2 linked regions of the Macaca mulatta genome follow. The protein of the gene in region 1 purifies or fractionates together with the protein of each later gene. This does not show direct contact. Links are inferred from orthologs where the notes say so. Each region holds a gene or a part of one and is shown in the gene's direction. Other genes may lie near its edges.

Region 1 (3,715 bases):
AACAGCTCCTCAGTCCGAGGGTCCAATCTCCCCCAACCACTCACAAACTTTGGGGTCTTTTTTTTTTTTTTTACCGTTTTTTCTTTCCCTGGATTCTCATAACCTGGACTTAGATTATAGTCTGTTTTGCAGACTTGTTTTCTTTTTCCTTAGGTTGCCATAGTTACTAACTTTGTATATAAAATAATCATCATTCCTCTTTATTCTCCCACCAGAAGTTTCAGTGTTTTCTGATGTGACCTTTGCAAAGGGAACTGGATGGCTTTTTAATCTTTTCCTTTCTGGTTCTACCTCTAGTACACATTTCTTGCTCTCCTTTTTGTGGGTCGTTAGCATCTAGCTTGACTTGCGCTTCAGATTGATGCTTCATTGTGCAGTATTTTTACATAGAGGGCCTCTGCCCATGACCTAGATAGAGGATTATGAGAGGGGAAATAACTGATTTGAAAAGAACAAAAAACATCTGCCCTAAACTGGTTCTACCTGTGTTACTTTGATTGTGAGTAATATAAGCAAATAAATTATATAATTACAAGGGAAGTGAGGTCTATCCGATTGTGATAGAAAACCTAAAGCTTTTGCTTTTTTTTTTTTTTTTTTTTTTTTGAGACAGAGTCTCACTCTGTCGCCCAGGATGGAGTACAGTGGCCGGATCTCAGCTCACTGCAAGCTCCACCTCCCGGGTTTACGCCATTCTCCTGCCTCAGCCTCCCGAGTAGCTGGGACTACAGGTGCCCGCCACCTCGCCCGGCTAGTTTTTTTTTTGTATTTTTTAGTAGAGACGAGGTTTCACCGTGTTAGCCAGGATGGTCTCGATCTCCTGACCTCGTGATCCACGTGTCTCGGCCTCCCAAAGTGCTGGGATTACAGGCTTGAGCCACCGCGCCGGGCCCAAGCTTTTGTTTTTTACGTCACATCGTCTTGGTCCAACCCAGAACTCAGACCACTGGCTTTAGTAGACTGTGTGCCTTGGTAATTTCAGGGCTGTTTGGGTTAGCAGAGTCTCACCCAGATCACTGCTTTTCATTATAATAGAGTAAATAACCAGTAAAAGGAACCCTCTGCCAGCAGCTATCTGAGGAGGTGCAGTCATTTTTGGTAGGATGGATGCTCCATACTGGGGCCAGAGAGAGGGTTTCTCTTCAGGTCCTGGCTCAGTTACAAACGACCTTGTGACCACCCAGAGCAAGGCAGCACATTTGCAGGCCCAGCCTCTCCTCATCAGTGAGATAAAACATCTGCCTTCTTAGACTTAGCTTCGGGAGCAGTTGTAGTCATCAAACAACATCCACATAAAGATTCACTGGACTGTCAATTGCTTTATAAAGAATATTGAGATTTGCTTGGAGAGGTTGGTTACCAGCTTTCCTAGAGTTTCAAGCCCACACAATTTAAATCTTATCTTATACATCGACTTTAGACTCTGCTGTTCCCACCAGTCTTCCTATTTACACCTTTCTGGTCTTTTTGTCCCTGTGTTCCATCATCCATTCCATCTTTCAGCCTAGAATTACCTTCCTGCTCCCCCACTGATCTACTGCCTGCCTTTTTACAGGGTAAGTTCAGTCCTGCCCCCTCTGACACCTTTAGATCTGGCGGCTCCTGCCCCCACTTCACTGTTTGTAGGTGTTGACCCTGATGGAGATGTACAGCTTTTGATGGTTGCTGCTGTGTATACCTGTCATCTCCTTGAAACTAAGCCTCATAGAGACAGGGCATGTTATGTAGCTAACTTGCGCTAGGCATATGATGGGCTCGCAGAAAATATTGATGGATCGGAGTGTGCCTCTGAAGTAAACCAAGGAAATTGTAGGAGCGTGCCTCTGAAATAAAGGAAATGGTAGTGCCATTCTAGGTACATTAACAAGAATCCTTCTGTAAGTCAGGAAAAAAAAGAGGGAAGGTCATTTGCTCAGCATGGAGTAACAATGATATTAGAAGCAACAGACTCGTGACAGCCTTCTTGCATGCTTTTCCTTGTCCCATCTGCCCAGCAGCCTTGGGAGGTGTGGGTGGTATGGCAGTGCCTGTTTGGAGACAGTATAATGAAACAAAAAGGCTTTGCGGTCCGCCAGACAGCAGTAAAACCTGAGTTTCCACCTGGGCCTCATTCCAAACCCAGGTGCCTGACACCAGTCCCTGGTGCCCATGTCATACCTTGATTTGTTCTGTGTGAGTAGAAAGGGACTCAGTGCCAGTTTTGCGGGTCCCCTTGGAGCAGTTGTTTGTCACCAATGTCACTCTTGAATACACTGCGTCCTTTAGTTCAAAAGAAGTGTGACTATGTTCATCTCACTCAAGCGCCTTCCTGTCTTCTTTGATTTAGGAGAAAGGATCCTGGGTTATGCTGAGGAGCCCTGCTATCTCTGGTTTGTCATGGAGTTCTGTGAAGGTGGAGACCTGAATCAGTATGTCCTGTCCCGGAGGCCGGACCCAGCCACCAACAAAAGTTTCATGCTACAGCTCACGAGCGCCATTGCCTTCCTGCACAAAAACCATATTGTGCACAGGGACCTGAAGCCAGACAACATCCTCATCACAGAGCGGTCTGGCACCCCCATCCTCAAAGTGGCCGACTTTGGACTAAGCAAGGTCTGTGCTGGGCTGGCACCCCGAGGCAAAGAGGGCAATCAAGACAACAAAAATGTGAATGTGAATAAGTACTGGCTGTCCTCAGCCTGCGGCTCGGACTTCTACATGGCTCCTGAAGTCTGGGAGGGACACTACACAGCCAAGGCGGACATCTTTGCCCTGGGCATTATCATCTGGGCAATGATAGAAAGAATCACTTTTATTGACTCTGAGACCAAGAAGGAGCTCCTGGGGACCTACATTAAACAGGGGACTGAGATCGTCCCTGTTGGTGAGGCGCTGCTAGAAAACCCAAAGATGGAGTTGCACATCCCCCAAAAACGCAGGACTTCCATGTCTGAGGGGATCAAGCAGCTCTTGAAAGATATGTTAGCTGCTAACCCACAGGACCGGCCTGATGCCTTTGAACTTGAAACCAGAATGGACCAGGTCACATGTGCTGCTTAAAATTCAGGGCTAAGCATTTTGGGTGATTTTAAACTAGGTGAGTGCTTTCTGTTGTTGTTTTTTTGTTTTTGTTTTGAAACAGGGTCTCACTCTGTCTATCAGACTGGAGCGCAGTGGGTGCAGTGGCAGGATCTCGGCTCACTGCAACCTCTACCTCCCGAGTTCAAGTGAATCTCGTGCCTCAGCCACCCGGGTAGCTGAGATTACAGGCATCTGCCATCATGCCCAGCTAATTTTTGTATTTTTAATAGAGAAGGAGTTTCACCATGTTGACCAGGCTGGTCTCGAACTTTTGACCTCAAGCGATCTGCCAGTCTCAGCCTCCCAAAGTGCTGGGATTACAGGCGTGAGCCACCTTGCCCAGCCTCCCTTTTTTTCCTGTGTGCCCGCTTCTTGTACTGGGTTCTTCATTCTGGACCCTAGGATGGGCCCTGTGAAGTTGGGGGGGACTACAAAGTTGAAGAAAACTAAGTGCTTCTTATCAAAGATTCCCCCCCATGTCTTGATGGGAGAAATGTGCAATTATCTGAGTACAAGTTGAAAAGTCTAGAGAAGTCTTCTGAGAGGAGGTTGCGTTTAAGCTGAATCTCCCTTTTTTAAGAAACACTCTTTCTCATCATTATAAATGCTCACTGTAGAAAATGTGCATAAGAGGTAAACAGTTTTTCAGAGAATA
Region 2 (4,294 bases), on another chromosome or scaffold:
GAGGCTGAGGCAGGAGAATCGCTTGAACCCAGGAGGCGGAGGTTGCAGTGAGCTGAGATCACGCCACTGCACTCCAGCCTGGGAGACAAAGCGAGACTCCGTCTCAAATAAAAAATAAAAATAAAAAACAGAACAGTGGTCCTCAGCTTTATAAACACCTCCCTTAGCTGATGTGAAGGCCAGGATGTCAAGCAGCGGCCGAGGAGGACGCATCACAGCAGCTCAGGCCTGCTAAGGCAGTGTCTGCTGGAGGCGTGGCCGCTGTGTGTCCACCCAGACCTGATAGGGCGTGGTCACTGGAGGAGGCGTGGCCGCTGCGGGTCCACCCAGACCTGATAGGGCGTGGCCATTGGAAGAGGCGTGGCCGCTGTGTGTCCACCCAGACCTGATAGGGCGTGGCCATTGGAGGAGGCGTGGCCGCTGCGGGTCCACCCAAGCGCGCTAGGGGCGTGGCCACCAGAGGAGGCGTAGCCGCTGCGAATCCACTTTTGCCCCGGAGAGTAATCGGACAGCGGAGGGGTCAGTTCCCGCCTTGCACGTGACAGGGGGTGAGAACCTGACCCCCAGCCTGACGCCGGACCCTGGCCTCCTGGGCCCACGGACGGCCTCCACTGAGGCCCGATCCCGCCCGCGACGTGGGGGACAGCAGAGGCCACCCCAACCCAAAGCGGCACCTCGCAGGGCAGCCCAGCCTGCGACAAGCGCGCAAACTTCCTCAGCGGGACCGTAGCAAGGGCAGGCCTAGGGGTCCCTCGCGCTGCTCAACGCCGCTAACCGGCGCTCAGAAACCAGCGCTCTGCGGCACTGGAGAAAGCACTTCCCGCCCTCCTACAGGCTCTTGGCCAGGGACTGCCAGGGGAGGCGCCCCTCACGGACGCCCCGCCCGCCCCTCTCAAACATGGCGGCCACAGGCGCACCAGGGAAGAGCCCCTCACAAACATGGCCGTCCGCCGCTCTCAAACATGGCGGCCACAGAGGCTTCAAGGGAAGCAACCCTCACGAACATAGTTGCCTGCCCCTCTCAAACATAGCGGCCATAGGCCCACCAAGAGAAGCGCCCCTTACAAACATGGCCGTCCGCCCCTCTCAAACATGATGGCCAAAGAAGCTTCAACGCAAGTGCCCCTAAAGAACATTGTGGCCCACCCCTCTCAAAACATGGCGGCCACAGGTGCACCAAGGGAAGCGCCGTTCACGAACATGGTCGTCCGCCCCTTTCAAATATGGCAAACACAGAAGCTACAAAAAAAGCACCCCCCGCAAACATAACCTCCCAGGCCTGCCATGGGCGTGGGAAACATAGCGGCTACAGGGTTGCCAAGGGACGCGCCCTCACGAACATGGCCTGCCACAGGACGACTTACTGCTCCAGTGTCCCAGCACTGGCCCGTAGCCCGCGAGCTGCGCCCGTCACTTACGTAAAGGCCAACACTGTGGGGTCACATGACGAGGGCGCTGCGCTGTGATTGGCTCTGCTGACGTCGGACGCCGCCGCGGCGCGCTCTGCAGACTCCGGGTCGCCGCTCCGCCGGGACGCGTTGGTCCGGGGCGCGCGGTTCTTGGCTGCGGCGCTCACACTCATGAGGAGCCGAAAGGTGAGGGCTGGTGCTCGGCAACAGCTGCGCTGGACAGGGCGGGGACTCCGGGCCACCTGCTGTCTGGAGAGCCGGGGCGGGGTCACGGGGTGCCTGTGACCTAGAAACGGCCTCCGCTTGGGCCTCGCCCCCGGGAGAAGCGGGGGGCTCCAGGCCACGCTCCCGGGAGAAGGGGCGCTCCCAGACCACGCCCCTGGGAGAAGGGAGGGGCTCCAGGGCAGGGTCCCGGGAGAAGGAGGGCTCCCAGGTCACGCCCCTGGGAAAGGGGGAATCCGGGCCACGCCCCCGCGAGAAGGGGCGCTCCCAGGCCACACCCCCAGGAGAAGGGGAGCTCCCAGGCCACGCACCGGGGAGAATGGGGACCCCGGGCCACGCCTTAGGGAGAAATGGAGCTCAGAGGTCACGTCCCCGGGAAAAGGGGCCTCCCAGGTTATCGCCCCCCGCAGAAGGGGGGCTCCGGGCCATGCCCCCAGGAGAAGGGGAGCTCCCAGGCCACGCTGCCGGGAGAAGGGGGCTCCGGTCCACGCCCTCGGGAGAAGTGGAGCTCACAGGTCACGTCCCGGGGAGAAGGGGGCCTCCCAGGCCACGCCCCCTTGAAGGGAGATTTCAGGCCACTTTCCCAGGAAGGTGGGGTGCCCTCTCCAGAACTGGTTTCAACTCCTGGTAGTGCTGGATGCTGCGGAGCTGAGTTTGTGCCCCTCAACTGCTGCCACTCGGTTGGCCCCATGTACTTAATGTGCTAAAAGTGGGGTGATGTGGGATCCACCCAGAGGGTGGTGAGGATTGAAGGGGGGTGCCAGTGTCTGGCAAGGGGCAAGTGCTTACCGCGTGGGTGTAACAGTTAAAGGTGAAAGACCCTTTTCACAGTGCACTTGGCGCGGGTCCAGGTCCACCTGGGAGGTTCTGAGCTGCTTGGAGGCTTTCTCCTGGTTTGTTCAAATGGAGTGACCACTTGTGAATTCCAACTCCTTTTACTATTTTTAATCTTTGAACCAAAACTAGGCAGCATACATTTGGATCTTTTTTAAAACCCAGTCTGGTAGTTTCTGCCTTTTGATTGAATTGTTTAGCCCGTGCACATTTAATATTATTGATATACTGTAGTTAGGTTTACATATGCTATTTTACTTTTTCTTTACTTTATACAAGTCTGTCTTTTTCTTCCCCTATTCCTTCTTTAAGTGGATTAAAGTGAATATTTTCTAATGTAGCATTTTAATTTAGTGATTTTTTTACTACATTTCTTGAGTTTTTTCCAGTGCTTGCTCTGTGTTTTACCGTATACATCTTAATCTTCATACTCTCCATATACATCTTAAGCTTCAGATTTGTACTAGGTTAATTCCAAGTGATAAGGAAAAGTTACCGTTATAGGTTATTTTTGTGGTATTTTGTTATATGTATTACATCTGATAATGTTACAAACTCAACAATACAGTGTGATCATTATTACTTTCTGTCTGTGGTCATTTCCTCAACCAGTAGGGCTTTGCCTTCACCCACTTTCTTTGTTTTGTTATTGGCAAATATAGTACACGTCTGTATATATTACATACATGTTATTGTATACAATTGCTTTTTAAAATTATGAGAAGGAGGTAGAAAAATAGGCAATCAAACTATCTTTATAAGAACATAGGCCGGGCGCGGTGGCTCAAGCCTGTAATCCCAGCACTTTGGGAGGCCGAGGCGGGCGGATCACAAGGTCAGGAGATCGAGACCACAGTGAAACCCCATCTCTACTAAAAATACAAAAAATTAGCCGGGCGCGGTGGCGGGCGCCTGTAGTCCCAGCTACTCAGGAGACTGAGGCAGGAGAATGGCGGGAACCCGGGAGGCAGAGCTTGCAGTGAGCCAAGATCGCGCCACTGCACTCCAGCCTGGGCAACAGCGTGAGACTCCGTCTCAAAAAAAAAAAAAAAAAAAAAAAAAAAGAACATAATTACCTTTACTGGTGCTGTTTGTGTGGGCGTGTGTGGGTTTGAATTACTGTCTGGGGTCACTTGCTTTCAGCCTGACGAACTTCTTTTAGTATTTCTTGTAAAGTGAGTTTTTATTTTGTTTTTTTGTTTTGAGACCAGAGTCTCGCTCTGTTGCCCAGGCTGGAGTGCAGAGATGTGATCTCAGCCAACTGCAGCCTCCACCTCCCAGGTTCAAGTGATTCTCACCTCAGCCTCTGGAACTGCTGGGATTACAGGAGCCCGCCCCTACACCTGGCTAATTTTTGTATTTTTACTGGAGATGGGGTTTCACCATGTTGACCAGGCTGGTCTAAAACTCCTGACCTCAGGTGATCCACCACCTCAGCCTCCCAAAGTGCTGGGATTACAGGCATAAGCCACCATGCCCAGCCCATTTTTTAAGTATAGCTTTGCTGGATATAGGATTCTTGGTTAACAGGTTTGTTTGAGTACTTTGAATATGTTTGAATATTCTCCATTGTTTCAGTCAGTGGTTCATTTATTGAGGTTCCCTTCTAAGTGGCTTTCTTCTTGTGGCTTTCAAGATTTTGTTCTCTTGTGGCTTTCAAGATTTTACCTTTGATCTTTGTATTTTTACAGTGATGTGTCTGTGGATCTCTTTGCATGTATCCTATTTGGAGTTCAGTTCATTAAGATTCCTGGATATGGGGTCAGGTACGGTGGCTCACACCTGTAATCCCAGCACTTTGGGAGGCCGAGGCAGGCAGATCACAAGGT

What was found.
Region 2: the proteins of STK35 (region 1) and C1H1orf174 purify together in Homo sapiens (affinity purification with mass spectrometry; 3 studies listed by BioGRID and IntAct, counting the BioPlex papers as one, with this or other methods). This does not show direct contact. The link is inferred for Macaca mulatta from reciprocal best matches to the Homo sapiens genes STK35 and C1orf174.

Annotation. Positions count from the first base shown.
Region 1 is NC_133415.1:81,970,041-81,973,755, reverse strand, and holds part of STK35 (serine/threonine-protein kinase 35), read left to right. Parts: intron 1-2,326; coding exon 2,327-3,039; 3' UTR 3,040-3,076; intron 3,077-3,715.
Region 2 is NC_133406.1:236,858,642-236,862,935, forward strand, and holds the start of C1H1orf174 (UPF0688 protein C1orf174 homolog), read left to right. Parts: upstream 1-1,493; 5' UTR 1,494-1,580; coding exon 1,581-1,595; intron 1,596-4,294.